Linked DNA regions of Diceros bicornis minor. The protein of the gene in region 1 purifies or fractionates together with the protein of each later gene. This does not show direct contact. Links are inferred from orthologs where the notes say so. Each region holds a gene or a part of one and is shown on either strand. Other genes may lie near its edges.

Evidence for each region.
Region 2: the proteins of CDK5RAP3 (region 1) and PIP4P2 purify together in Homo sapiens (affinity purification with mass spectrometry; 3 studies listed by BioGRID and IntAct, counting the BioPlex papers as one, with this or other methods). This does not show direct contact. The link is inferred for Diceros bicornis minor from reciprocal best matches to the Homo sapiens genes CDK5RAP3 and PIP4P2.

The regions. Positions count from the first base shown.
Region 1 is NC_080757.1:38,083,933-38,091,355, forward strand, and holds the start of CDK5RAP3 (CDK5 regulatory subunit-associated protein 3), read right to left. Parts: upstream 3,128-7,423; 5' UTR 3,125-3,127; coding exon 3,122-3,124; intron 1,213-3,121; exon of another isoform or gene 1,112-1,212; intron 627-1,111; exon of another isoform or gene 273-626; intron 1-272. UniProt on the Homo sapiens protein: Substrate adapter of E3 ligase complexes mediating ufmylation, the covalent attachment of the ubiquitin-like modifier UFM1 to substrate proteins, and which is involved in various processes, such as ribosome recycling and reticulophagy (also called ER-phagy).
Region 2 is NC_080760.1:10,725,531-10,733,225, forward strand, and holds the start of PIP4P2 (type 2 phosphatidylinositol 4,5-bisphosphate 4-phosphatase), read right to left. Parts: upstream 3,124-7,695; 5' UTR 3,063-3,123; coding exon 2,957-3,062; intron 2,508-2,956; exon of another isoform or gene 1,622-2,507; coding exon of another isoform or gene 1,537-1,621; intron 1-1,536. UniProt on the Homo sapiens protein: Catalyzes the hydrolysis of phosphatidylinositol-4,5-bisphosphate (PtdIns-4,5-P2) to phosphatidylinositol-4-phosphate (PtdIns-4-P).

The DNA of each region.
Region 1 (7,423 bases):
GTCCCCCAAAGAAACGGGGTTGCAGTTATCAGGAGGTGTATGGGAAATGAGCTGGACAGCAAAAAATGGAAGCTGCCCCTTTTGTGTGTGTGTGTGTGTGTGTGTGTGTGTGTGTGTGTGTGTTAAAAAACGATATTGTTTTATTAACAGCAGCAGGAGTGGCTGGCATGGGGTGGCGGGTGTGCTGGGCTCAGGGTATGTGTGGGCTGTGAGGAGTAGATGATGGTTGGGAGGCTGGAAGGAAAAGAGGTGGGCGGGTATGGAGGCCAGGCCCAAGGGCTCCTGAGATTTACTCTGGGAATAAGTAGACTTGATAAAGGATTCATGGCAAGCTGTGGCCAAGCCCCCAATATGATTAAGAAATTCTTGGAGATCTAGCCGCCCATCACAGTTGAGGTCCAGTTTCTTCATCCCGCAGTCAAGGACACCAGGGTCCTTCTGGTTCTTTGTGAAGGCAGCCAGTTCTCTGTTCACGAAGGCTGGGAACTCGGTCTTGGAGAGTTTGCTGCTGTTCCTGTCCTTTGCAGCATATCTCTGGAAAACAGTAATCAGAGACTTGCACCGCAGTCTCTGTAGGGCTGGAGATTTTTGCCGCGCTGGAGTAGAGCAAGGCACGGAGGCTGTGACTGGGGAACGGCGCAGCAAGCTCTGAAGCTGCCACTTCTATGTGCCAAATGCTCTACCAGATGCTGGGGATTCAGAGATAAGACCCCATCTCTACCATCAAATAGCTCACAGTCCAGACGAGGGTGCAGAAGATCAGAAAGTGTCGCAGTGGTGATGGGATACGGGGACTCTCCAGCTAGCTTGGGAACCCAAGAGAGGGCCACCCAACCCAGACTGAGGCAGAACCAAACCAGGAAACACTTTGCCAAAAACGTTACCCCTCAACAGAGTTATGAAAGATGAATGAGAATTAATCAAGGGAAGAAAGGAAGAGGGAAGTTCAGGGAGAGGAAGCAACATATAGAGGTGTAGACCGGTCAGAAATTGTGGGTTTCTGCCTTGGGCAAAGGGGCGAATTGCTGTGCAGTGAGGTGAGAGGAACTGGAGAGCTCAGACTGGCACGTGAGGAGCTCGGGCAGCCTGTGGGTCAGTCAGGTGGTGATACCAGTAGATGACTGGATTGTTTTGGATCTCGAGGTTGAGAAAGAGATGTAAGCTGTGGAGATAAATTTGGAATTCAACCCCGTGGGCGGCAGCCAAAGCCATGGGAGGATGCTGTCACTCAGGGAGAGTGAGAGGAAGGCCGAAGGTACACAGCTGGAGAGCACCCACATTGGTTGAGTGGGTGAACGCAGAGGGCACAGGAAGGAAGGAGTCAGAAAAGGACAATCTCAAGTCACAGCACTGTGAGCAAATGATTTGTATTCTCGGGCCCCAAGGTTTCTGCACATGTAATTCTCTCTCATGTGAAATCTTCCAGGGGAAAGAACAGATTACGTACAAAGAAATGAAAATCAGATTGTCATCAGATGTCTCACCGACAATCCCGACAAGAAGAAGGTGAGCAAGCCTGCAAAGGGCAGAGGGAGTGGCAAGACTGCTAGTGTCCCCAGCGTCTGTCCCCCATTCTTCCTTAGTAATAGAACCTTGGGTCTTTGGCTGGGCACGTAGCCATCCAAAAGCAAGGCTACATTTCCAGCCTCCCTTAAAGCTAAGTGTGGCCATGTGACTGTCCCTTCCTTCTTTGCACCTTCCTCCATCCGTCCTGCTGCCTGGAAGCCAATATGAGGCCACCATCTTGGGCCGTGAAGACAAGGACCACATCCTAAGTGTGGCAGAGTAGAAAACTGGAAGGAGCCCAGTCCCCTGCAATCTTCTACATGAGAAAGAAAATAAACTTCAACTTCGAGCCACTGCTGTTTTGGGTCCCTTATTTACACTGTACTTAATCCTAACTGATGTTGATGGGAGATTATACCCAGCCAAAATAGCAATCAGGTACGAGAATAAAATAAAGTCCTTTTTGTACAGGCAACAATCTGAAGAGAAGTCAGGAAATAGATGTTTAAATATGTTATTTAAAGTCCTAAAATTAAATAATAGAAAGGGTAAGTAAATATGTGACTGGCAGGGATTAGGGAAAGAAGGGACGCAGTGAAAGCAAGCTAAACTCGTTATCTTTCATTGCAGCGAGTCAGGAGATATTGTTGAAACGATGAATTAGAGATATTAGCATATTTTCTGGCATTATGGAAGTATTGTCAGGAAGGCTAAAAAGAGAAATGGTTGAAAATGATTACTTCTGGGGGATGGGCGTCAGATTGATGGAGGAAGACTTTAATTTTTCAATTTGACTGTCTTGCACAGTTTAGATGTATGTTTGTACTTGTAGGTACATACATAGGACAACCTCTGAAGGATGCGTACCTAACTCTTAATAGTGTAACCCTCCAGGGGGGAGGAGTGGATCCAATAGGGGAGGGTCTAGGAACAGACTAAAGTTTCATTTTATAACTTTTTATATTATTTGGTGTTATAAAAATGAGTACTTATTATTTTTGTAAAAAAAATTTTAAGTATATTTTTTAAAAGAAAGTGGACAAGGGAAAATACCAGACAGTGGTCCACAGTCTGGAAAATACCACAGGCAGAAGGCAGGACCTACAAGGACTCACTTCCTTGGCAGTGAAATCAGGTGTGTCTTAGCAAGTCTGATTGCCCCTGATTTTGGCCACTGCCTGGATTTATCTCGTCCATGGCCAGACCCAAGAGGAATTTAAAGGGAAGTCCCCTCTTGGGAGGTGTCCTGCTCAAGTGCCCCACTTCCCACTGGCATAGTTAGAGTTGGAATTATCTCAGAGTTGAGCAATCGGAGGCCCGTGTTTGCCAGGCTTGGGATTTCTCTGGTGACACAACTGCCTTAAATCCTAGTTGGCTGTCTGCCATTTCCATTCCTAGGGATGCCATGTGCAAGTAACCAATGCTGGAAATCTTGCCCAGTCATGAAACCTGATTCTGAACCTGGCTTTTGTGGTTTGTCTCTTAGCAACAGGCTTGGGGGCTCTGACTGTCCATCTAGGCCTTAGGTTAAGATTCTTCCTTGGTATATGGATATCTGGGGTTCTTTGCCCACCATCCTTTCTGGGACCGAGACCTTGAATTTCCTTTGGGAAACCATCTTTCCCCCTCCCATTCTCAGCCAAGAGATTTAATCTGGGATTGTTTTCTATCCCCAAATCTAGGGGTGTGCCAGTCAGTATGTTCCTGTCTCCCTAGCCAAAATGATTGTTCAGGGATGGGCTCCAGATCTATGGCAGCCCAATCAGAGTGAATCATGGGACTCACTGAAAATGTTGGGGCATGGTCTTGTTTCTCCTGATGATATTGAACAAGGAAGCTTGTAGCCCCAGGAGCTGCCGTCAGTCATGAGGGCTTTGGGACTATGAGGGGAATTATCCAACCCTGAGGAAGAATAGAGAGATGGAAAACAAACAAACAAACAGATTATGATTATAATGGATTGTTTCCTCTGACTCCTCCTAACTTTAGCATAGAAAATTAAATTCAGCTTTTACAATTACATGTAGCACACAATTGTCTCTCAGTGGTCTTAGGTCATTGGTTACAAACAGACTAGATCTTTCTTAACAAAGCTAATTATCCAATCTCTTTTTATGGTCCAGTTTAAAAGAAAGATTTTTGTTATCTTGTAGCACCATACTGAAGATCACAAGTAGTATATCACATTCAATATCTAACATTTTTCTATCAAATCCCCAATAATTACAACGCCATTAGGCACACAGTCTGAGCTCTAAAGTACAACAGGAGATGGTTAATCCAGCTGATCCATTTCCATGAGGATAATTATCTTCCCAAATTGCAAAGAATGGTTTCTCACTGCTTTCCACACCACCTGGCCAGGTTCACCTTTTAAATTCTGTTTCTTACAACATCCCACTCCTGATACCAGTTCTGTACAGTCAAGATTCTTTTAGTTGTAAATAAATCCACCTCACTCAAAGTAATTTAAAGAAGAGGGGGCTTATTGGCTCATGGGATAGGAAAGGCAGGGGTATATTGTAAACAAGGAACAAATATTGCGTGCTCTCTCTCTTTCTCTCTCTCTCTCTCTCAATTGTTTTGGTTTCATACTCTGTTTCAGCTTCATTATCTTCCAAATTAGAATAGCTTCCCTATGCAATTAGAGAAAATTGGCTACCAGTAGTACCTAGGATTGTATCTGACAACTCCATGACCAGAGAAGAAACAAACCTCTTCCCTGTCAAATCACCCATAAAAATCCTAGGAAGGGTCTTGACTGGTTTGTCTTGGGTCATGTGCCCACCTTTCATCTAGGAGCATGAGGTGCTGTGATTGACTTGTACTGGATTATATATGCACTCCTGTAATTGTTACCAGAAGAAATGTGGGGGAAGCAGATGCTTAGTACAGAAAAAAAAAAAAAAATAGCCACTGAAGGAATTAATGAAAAGATTAAGTACAGTGGCCAGATACAAGATAAATATATAGAAACCAATGACTCTTACCAATAGAAAGTGCTAGTTAATAATATCACATTTACAGTTTTAAAAACCCTGTAACTGTCAGAATAAATTTAACGAGAAGTGTTCAAGAAAACTATGAATCTTCAATGAAGGACATGACATACAGCATGAAAAAAAAGTAAAGAGATCTTGGTCTTAGATGGAATGACTTAATATTCTAATACAGTAGATACCTCCCTCTAATTAATTTATAAATTTAATATAATCCCAATCAAAAACCCAATGGGATTTTTTAAAGGGAATTTGAAGTGCTGAGTCTAAAGTTAATCTGGAAGGTAAGTCATGAGTATAACCAATACAATTAAAAAAAAAGAAATTAATAAGGGAGGGGTTGCTACCAAATGTCAAAACATAATATAAAACTGCAATAATTAAAAGTATATTATTGGGGCTGGGCCCATGGCCTAGTGGTTAAGTTTGGTGTGCTCTGCTTTGGCAGCCTGGGTTCAGTTCCCAGGTGCAGACCTACACCACTCATCAGCAGCCATGCTGTGGTGGTGACCCACATACAAAATAGAGGAAGATTGGCTCAGGGAGAATCTTCCTCAGCAAAAAAAAATGTGTATATATATATATATATATTATTGGGGATGGTTCGGTTTCCAGATGGAGTAGATGGTTTCCAGATGGTCTAGATGGAGTAGACATAATTTTCTCTATTCATCTTGCTAAATACAACTAACCCTGGATCTTATACATAAAACAACATAAGAAGATTCTGAAAGGTGGAGAAAAGAATAGGGACCTTGTGACCTGAAAAATGACACATTGGTCAGTTCTCTGGGTTTTCTTTTTGCCCCGTATATCCCAGACTGGGTTCTGGAGAAGCCAGCAACCTGGAAACACCAACAGACACAAACAAACAAACAAACAAACAAACAAAAACCCTATGGAAGCCTGCTCTCTCTAGCTAAAGGATAAGGAAATGGGCAGCTTAGCAATATAGAAAACTTTTCAGAGAATAGTCCCTTTACTACAGCCAAACACTACCAAAAATATCTGTGGCCTAATCCCCACACATGCCAGCAAAAACCAAGTGAGGAATCTAGATCCATCTTTGCCAGGCTGTAAGGAGGTAACTGACTTTCCCTCCTCTCAAGCCACTGGAGTAATGTCAAGGAAAGGCTGAATAAGGAATCAGGATGTTCATGCCCACTGAGAGTAGTCCTCCAGAACCACCACCGTGTCAGCGGAGATGATGTGGAGAACCTGGACTTCCACCTTCACCTGACAGTAAGGAGGGGTGCCAACCCTTTCCTTGTCTGAGCAGTGTCAGAGGAAGCCAGCTAAAAACAGAAGGTTTAAATAAGACCCAGAGTATCATAACACAATACCCAAAACGTACAGATTTCAGTAGACAGTCACTTGTCGTGTCAAGAACCAGGAAGTTCTCTAACTGAATGAAAAAAGAAAATCAGTAGGTGCCAACACAGATGACAGGCACATTAACACCATCTGACAAAGATCTTAAGGCAGTCATGATAAAAATGCTTCAATAAACATGCTCAAAACAAATGAAAAAATAGGAAGCCTCGTCAAAGACATAGAAAATTTCAGCAAAGAAACAGAAGACATAAAGAAGAACCAGATGGACATTTTAGAACTGAGAAATATAATAACAGAAATAAAAAACCTTAATGGATGCATTCAACAGCAAAATGGAAGAGATAGAGGAAAAAATCAGTGAGCTGGAAGATAGAAAAATAGAAATTACCCAAATGAACAACAGAGAGAAAATAGACTGAAAACAAAAATGAATAGAGCCTCAGGGACCTGTAGGACTATAACAAAAGATCTAACACTCCTATCATCTAAGTCCCAGAAGGAGAGAAGAAAGAGGACAGAGTCGAAAAAGTACTCAAAGAATTAATGGCTGAAAGTGTCCCAAATTTGACAAAAGACATAAACCTATAGATTCAAGAAGCTGAGTGAACTATAATTAGGAAAAATCAAAGAAATCCACACAAAGACGTATCACAGTCAAACTTCTGAAAACTAGACAAAGAAAAAAATCTTAAAAGTAATGAGAAAGAAATAACATCTTTCCTATAGGGGAAAAACGATTCAAATGGCAGTGGATTTCTCATCGGGAACCATGCAGGCCAGAAGGAAATGGCATATTTTCCAAGTGCTGAAAGAAAAGAACTGTCATCCCAGAATCCTATGTTCAGTAAAAACATCCTTCAAGAATGAAGGGTAAATCAAGATATTTTCAGATGAAGGAAAATAGAGAATTTGTTACCAGCAGACTTACCCTTAAAAAAATGACTAAAGGAAGTTTTCTAAACAGAAAGAAAACTACAAAAGAAGGAATCTTGGAACATCAGGAAGGGAGGAAGTACATGATAATCATAATATGAGTAAATTCAATAAGCTTTCCTTCTCCTCTTGAGTTTTCTATATTATGTTTGATGGTTGAAACAAAAATTATAATACTGTCTGATGTGGTTCTAAATGTATATAGAGAAAATATTTAAGATGATACTAAAATTGGGGAGGGTAAAGGGACATAAAGGGAGGTAAGTTTTCTACATTTCAGTCTAACTGGCAAAATGACAACATTAGTAGACTATGATAAGATATACATAATATATAATGTAATAACTAGAATAACTGCTAAAATAAACCATAGAGAGAGATACTCAAAAACACTATGGATAAATCAAAATGGAATTCTAACAAATGTTTAAGTAGCCTACAAGAAGGCAGGAAAAAGAAAGCAGAGAAATGAGAAACAGAGAGAACAATCTTAAAACAAAAAATAAAATGGTAGACTTAATCCATAATGTATCAGTAATTACATTAAATGTAAATGGTATAAATATACCAATTAAAAGACAGAGATTGGCAGAGTGGATAAAAAAATATGATCCAACTATATGCTGTCTACAAGAAACATACCTCAAATG
Region 2 (7,695 bases), on another chromosome or scaffold:
GCTGATCTCCTACTCCGCAGGAAGCCGGCACTGACAGGAGACCATTAGGAGCATTCCACTTAGAAACCCAGGTGGAGTGTCCTCACTGTGCTAAAACCAGTCACAAAATACTAACTGCTCCCCTTTACATTATCAATAACCTGGCCAGATATAAACACTGCACCAACTTTCAACTTGAAATGGAACATTTCATCTTGGGGTGGGAGCTAACATGCCTGTTCTTAGAAGATGACACAAATAGCAAAGGGTTGGATTGGACAAAATATTTGCTAATTACAGCTCTTAACTACTTTTGTGTGTGTGTGTGTGTGTGAGGAAGATCGGCCCTGAGCTAACATCTGCCAATCCTCCTCTTTTTGCTGAGGAAGACTGGCCCTGGGCTAACATCCATGCCCATCTTCCTCCACTTTATATGGGACGCCGCCACAGCATGGCTTGACAAGCGGTGCATCTGTGCGTGCCCGGGATCTGAACCGGCGAGCTGGGGCCGTCGCAGCGGAGCGCGTGCACTTAACCGCTTACGCCACCGGGCTGGCCCCTCTTAACTACTTTTTTTAAAAATAAAAGTCTGAGAATCATAAACCAAATTTCATTATCAAAAAGTACATTCTATTTCTGATCCTTTGAATCCCAAGCTTTGACTCTACTTGTCAACTAGGGAAAACATCTGGTCTAGTGACAGAGTGTTTCTTACAATCCGAAATAACTGAGCCATGTGTTGACTTATTCTGTCTCCCGCTATAGCGGGGGCTCCACGAGGCCTGGGTTTGGTCAGGCTTGTCCACCCAGCACAGTCTCGGCACACCGTGCTGCAAGATGAACCACTGAGGGAGTGAGGAGCGCTGGTCTAGTAGAACCAGATCTCGTGTGTCATAACATTTATGAAGATACTTATTTTGTTATTTACCAGGAAAAGATATGCTGTCAAAAATGCAAATAAAATGCCTTTACTTCTCATTTATGCTTCTTGCTTCCTAGGTATTATGCCATATAAAATGAGTGTTTCTAATTATTTAACCTGTTTCATTCACCAGTTAAGAAAAAAATGTATTCTACTATAAGGCAGAAAGAGCCTTTTGCTAAACCATTGAATTTCTCCAGCTGTTAGAAGTTTTCTGGAATGAAACTTCTTTCTCTCGGTAGCTGAACTGGAACTTGTTACCTTATTGCCTAGTTGGAGGAGTTTTATCAGATTAAACAAATATATGGCAACTGATAAGTCTACAAGCAGATCCATGAGTACGACCATTTTTGTGGAATAATTTAGCCACTAGCTGACTAAAAGTACAAAAACATAGATGCAGAATAGAGGGCGTGAACATAGATGCAGAATAGAGGGCGTGAAAATGGGTTACAGGATAGTGGCTTAAATCCAAACTCTGTCTCTTAATAAATTGTCAAAATTTTTGTCTTAAAAGGGTGACTTGATGAAGTTGAAACATTCATTGATAAGTATTTAAACCTATTCTAGACCATACAATTTAGATAACAGTAAAATATTAATATCAAATTTGCCCATTAAAAGAAATTCCCTACCTGGTGTTCTCTGACACAAGTGTAATGCTGACCAACAACGATGACGTGTGGGTTTTCTGCGGGTGAGTCCTGTTCCGTTTTGCATCTTATTTCTCAACTCATAGATCACACTGAATTATTCACAGCTCAACATCTTCTTCCTTGGTCCTGCTTCTTGTTAAGTTAAGGATTAAAACTAGATTGTTGCTTTTTAAGTTATAACATGTTAAATGGAAATTTTAAATACTAGACAAGTTCAACCTGATTTACAGCTGCTCCAATTTCTGACTTGAACTTAGAAAAAGTTGCATTACAAGAGACATGATCCACCCATATTTTCAAAAGCATTAATGTTTGCCTCCTTGGGTTTTTAAACTTCTCTCACATTCAGCCAAAAAAGAGAGAGACGCACTTAAGCTACGCTGTCAAGTGCCGTATTTGACCAATCTTTTCAGTACTCTAAGCGGTTTTTTAAAGTCTTGCCTTTCATTTGCTATAACTCTTGACCCCACCTTATTTCTCCTATAGGAATCAACTAAAAGGCTTAGAACAAAGACAGATTCTTCGAATAAACTGAATAGTTTGGTAAATAGATCCCCCCCTTCTTTCTCCAGATCTCATTGCCATCAATGGGATTCTATCTTGAGAAGAAAAATAGATACTTATTTCAATGTTACAGTATTAACTTAGGTTACTTTTTAGAAGTTATTTTCAATCTCACCCAGATATGCATTGAAAACATCCCATCTTCCCTTCTATTCCTCCTCATTCACAACTAAAGCTAACACACACTCCTTACAAGTAGGAGTAATGAGGAAGGGCAGGAATTTCAGACATATTAGGAATATTGATTAACTCGTATTCCTTTTGGTAAGGCAAAATCCTGATTGAACAGATCACTGGTGGATGAATGGTAGGAGATGCATATTTTCAACCTAAGCCCTTTCAAGGACAGATGCCAAGGTGAGCAGTATTCCGGGTTTCTCAGCAACCTGAAAGGATTTGTGAATGATTGTGAAAGATTTGCACCACCTCCCAGCTGCACTTAGGGGCTGCTCTAAACAGCAAAGCCCAGTTTGGGAAATCCATGTCACATCCTGTACCCTGGGGGTAAGAAGTGGTGAAACACACACAGGCACACACACCCCACAGGCACCAGTGGGTAAGAAAGGGTGAAATAAATACACACGCACCCACACACACATCCCACACCAGTGGGTAGGAAGGGGTGAAATAGACACTCACACATCCCACACCACGCCAACCAGAAAGCCCTGCGGTGAAGCTCTCAAGCAGGCAGGCTCTGCATCTGAAGGCGCAGTCAGCATCCCCGTCTCCCAGCCCAACTGGGAATCTCTCCTCCGCCTCGGAGCTAGAGCTCCCTAGTCTTGTACATTCTAGGCTGTTCTTTGCGAAGTACAAAGGTCTATGCTGGCCTTACCTCTGGGGCTGCTTTCTTGTAAGTACGGTGGGGCCGTGGGAGTGACATTTCCCGAATGGGATGCTGACAGCAGAGGCGAGCGTTCGTCCACCCCGTCAGCAGCCATGACTGCAGCAGCGGCGCAGCCGGGGCAGCTGAGCCGGGTTGCGGCTCCGGCGGAGGCGGCGGCCAGTGCTGCCGCTGCTGCCGCCGGCGGGAGGGCCCGGGATGTGTCACACGGCAGGAGGCGCGGGAGGGGCCGGCGCGGGCCCGGGGGCGGGGGGAGGAGAGCGCGCCGGGAAGCGGGACTGGGGGAAGGGAGGGCAGAGAGGAAGAGCGAGCCGGGGGAGGGGAGGGGGAGGGGAGGAGGGGGAGGGGGAGGGAGGGCAGAGAGGAAGAGCGAGCCGGGGGAGGGGAGGGGGAGGGGAGGAGGGGGAGGGGGAGGGAGGGCAGAGAGGAAGAGCGAGCCGGGGGAGGGGAGGGGGAGGGGGGAGGGGGAGGGGAGGAGGGGGAGGGGGAGGGAGGGCAGAGAGGAAGAGCGAGCCGGGGGAGGGGAGGGGGGAGGGGAGGGGGGAGGGGGAGGGGAGGAGGGGGAGGGAGGGCAGAGAGGAAGAGCGAGCCGGGGGAGGGGAGGGGGAGGAGGAGGGAGGGGGAGGGGAGGAGCAGGAGCGCGGGGAACACAGAGGGCCGACTGCGACAGCGGGGAGGGAAGGTGCGAAGTAGCCTAGTGGCCTACGGGGAGCGGGGGAACGGGAAGAAAGGGCTACGAGTCTTTTTCTCTTTGTGCTTTACATTTCCCTAACTGAGGAGAGGAAGGGTAGGGGGCAGCGCGAAAGGGGTCAGAGAAAAGGCCTGTGGCTCGATGACAGGAAAAGCTACGGGAAACGCACAGCTCGAGTTCAGCTCCTCGCGGGAGGAGCAGGGACTCTGCTGTCAAACTTTGCAGCAATTATCCGAGGAACGCTTTTCCTAGGGTTGTCGAGTCCTTCATGAGGGCTGCTTCCTTTGTTATGAAGTCATTTTTCACCATCTGCCGTCTAAGAGGAAGTAGATTTTTTCATGAGTGGTGCCATTCCCTACTTTTCCGTCTTAATTTTTAATACCTGTTTGGCGCTCTAAAAACAGTACCTTCTTGAAACAATGCGTAATGTGTTGGCTTTTACAAGTTTCATTTTACAAAATGGGTTGCCATTTTAGTTTTATTTTTGTATTGTATTGTCCCTGATACATATACAATAATGCAATTTATGAATAAAATAAGACAATTAAAAAATTTTTATGGAGCAAATGTTTTAAAATAATCTTTCACAGTAAAAGAGAATTCAAAAGAAAAACTAGGCCCAGTCTTGTCTTGCTTTCTGTGTTTAGTTTATTTATTTCTTTTCTTTTTTTGTTGGTTTGCTAAAGTGATTTAAAAATCAAAGTTTTGAACATGCCCAGATAAAAATGCAGTAGGAAAATAGTCATGGTCTCCAATGATAATTTCTCAGCAAGGATTCTTTGAGTCAGTCAACAAACATTTATTACACGACTTCTGGGTCAACAAAGATGACGAGGGCATGGTCTTGATCCTCAAGATGCCTGCAAGGTAGCAGTCAAAAACAAACCAAAAATGAGGCTGGTAGTCTCAGCTGTAGATTTAAAGGGGCATGAGGGAAAGCTGACTTTAGACATTTGAAACCACCACTCACATTACATTAAGAAGGGTCGTCATTTTGCTCTCTGAAGATACTCCGTCTTCTGAAAAATCCATTTAGGCACCAGCTGGAAATCCTAAGGGAAAATCAAAGAATAATGTCTTCTATGTGCAGCATCTTCTGTGGGTTAGTAGTATCAAGATACAATACAGTATAAAGATCCCCAGATGACATAATCCAAGGGCATTTATAGGTCTCCAGGAACCTAGAAAGTTCCTGGAGTCAAGATGTAGCACTTCCTGCAAAAGTGAACAATTTACAAAATAGACAGCATTTCAAATTACAAATTGTTTTGTATTTACAAACAGAATTACAAAATGTTTTTACAGTTGCAGCCTGGAAGCTATTGAGTTAAAGAAACTTTTAAGAAGAATCAACAAAATCCTATTACTCGTGTCCTATCATGTCCCCATCACACTCTGTTGTAACAGTGTATTTACATTTTCATTACTCACCCACCCTCTATCCCCAGCTGACTTTGTGAGATCAGAAACCATATCTGTCTCATTCACTATTACATCTCCAGTATCTAACACAATGCCTGTCACATTAGTAAGCGCTTAATAAATATTTGTCAAATAAATAAACAAATGAGTACATGAACAAATCCTAGACAGTCCCAGAATCTTACTATAACCAATTGCTAACAAGAAAAAAGCATTTCTTGACTTTTTGATGAAGATGACCGTTTTGCCATCTGACTGACCAGTGTTTTTATTGTTCCATTATAGCTTTACAACCAGGGTTTCTTTATTGTCCAGGTAATAATGATCAGTGTAAAGGTTTTTTTCTTTCTTTACTTTTTTATACCGCTTCTCTGTCCATTTCAGAACTCATGTGAGGGTGATACAGCTAATGGCCATTATTCTTCTTACACTATAAAAGGTAACGGGTATACTGAGATTATATTTGCAGCAATGTCAAGTTTCACAAAAAGTAAAAAACTTTGATTAGATGAGTATTACTTCATTCTAAGGATAATACTATAGTTCATAGTTACTCAATAAATGTTAAATAATACTCATCAATCCAAGGCATGTTATGGTTATGATACTTTGCCATCTCTATTCATGAGATGAGCTAATGTGTCTTTGGAATAATAGTACAGTACAAACAGATAATGTGTGAGCTAGTAAGAGATATATCTTACTACTCACCTAAGCTACTTAAGCTCCAGTTCCAGATATTTACTACTGAGTGACAATAAACACCAAAATCCAGGCTTAAAACAAAATGATTTGTTATTTTTCATGATTCTGCAGGTTGATTGAGTGGTTATTCTGTCAGTCTTGCCTGGACTTACTCAGGCAGCTGCCTTCAGCGGGCAGGTTGTCTGGGGGCTGGGCTCAGCTGAGACAGCTGGGATGGCCAGGCATCTCTCTCCATGTAGTCTTTATTCCAGGCTTCTTCACATGCCTGGTAGTCTCAGAGCAGTATTCTAAGAGGGTGATTGTGGGAGCTATGGCATATCTTAAGATCTAGGCTCTGGATCTCAAATAATGTCATTCCATCACATTCTTCCACCTCCTGCAGTGTGCCTCCTGCCCAAAGAGAGTTGGGGGCCCAGAGACTGCTTTACACGATCAAAGGAAGTCACAAGGCCAGTAGAGGAAGAGAGTCCATCTCTTCATAGAAGGAGTGGCAGTGTCACATTGCAAAGGGGTGTGGGCCACTGGGAGGCATGATTCGTTGGAGGCCATTATGCAGCAATCTCCCATAGTCTGTCCTCTGGCCACAATGGCTTATATCCCTCTTACGCGCAGACTACACTTACCCCATTCCCAAGCCCCCAAAGTCTCATTTAATCACCAAAGTCAGCTTTGTGTATCTTGTCATGTAAATCAAGTCCAGGTGCAGACAAAGCTCCTCAGGTATGATACCACAGGTTCAGCTCTTTGGGTACAGCACCTCTTGACCCAGATTGCTGTGAACTAAAAGACAAATTATGTGTCCTCCTCATCTCTGCTCAACTGTTCCCCAACATTTAATGGTGAAACAGGAACAGGATAACAGCAATAAACACTCCAATTTCGTAAGGCAGGGTGTAGGGGGTGATGTGCATTCAGAATGGAAACACTGAACCACAGAATTCTGAAATCCAGTTGGGCATATGTCACCAGCTCCCTTGGCCCTAGAGCCAGGGAATTCTCCTTTATTGGGGCCCAGTTCTGCTCCTAGTGTTCCTTGGTTTCCCCACCTATTGGCCTCCTTGACTCTTGGCCCTGTCACTGAGTCCTTTCTTTTCCATTAGATATGGCTCCTGTTTGCAGCTGAGTAGTTTTCCCAGCCTGCCTCTTGTCCAAAGAAAGTTGGGGGTGCAGAGGCCTCTTTTCATTTTGATCTGTCTCTGTCTCTTTTAATCTAAATTGACACAACTCTCTTAAAAACTTTGTAGGCTTCTTGTGAATCTAACTGGGGTTTACCTTATGCCCTAGAAGACACAGACATAATTTTTTTTTTTTTGAGACAGGTTATCTTTCTATGTTGGGCCACATTTGAGGCCTTGTGGATTCTTAGAAGCCCCTGTGTCCGTCTAAGGAAGTCTCTAAGTCACTGCCTTGAATCTTTCAGAGGTCTTAAGGTGTTTTACAGCAATCCCCTTGATTTGAATTTTATCCTGAGGTCATTTCTAACATTAAAAATCTTTTGCTAGGGGGCCGGCCCGGTGGCGCAAGCGGTTAAGTGCGCGCGCTCCGCTGCGGCGGCCCGGGGTTCGCTGGTTCGGATCCCGGGCGCGCACCGACGCACTGCTTGGTAAGCCATGCTGTGGCGGCGTCCCATATAAAGTGGAGGAAGATAGGCACAGATGTTAGCCCAGGGCCGTCTTCCTCAGCAAAAAAAGAGGAGAATTGGCGGATGTTAGCTCAGGGCTGATCTCCTCACAAAAAAAAAAAAAAAAATCTTTTGCTAGATGGAAGACTGTCCTAAGTCCTGTATATTTCCTCTAAATTCTGTTGTAAATTAAATGTTCCTTTTTTAGTTCATCTCTGTGGTTGGCAAAATAATGCTCCCTAAAAGATGGCCACACCCTAATCCCTGGAATCTGTGAATATTTCAGCTTAC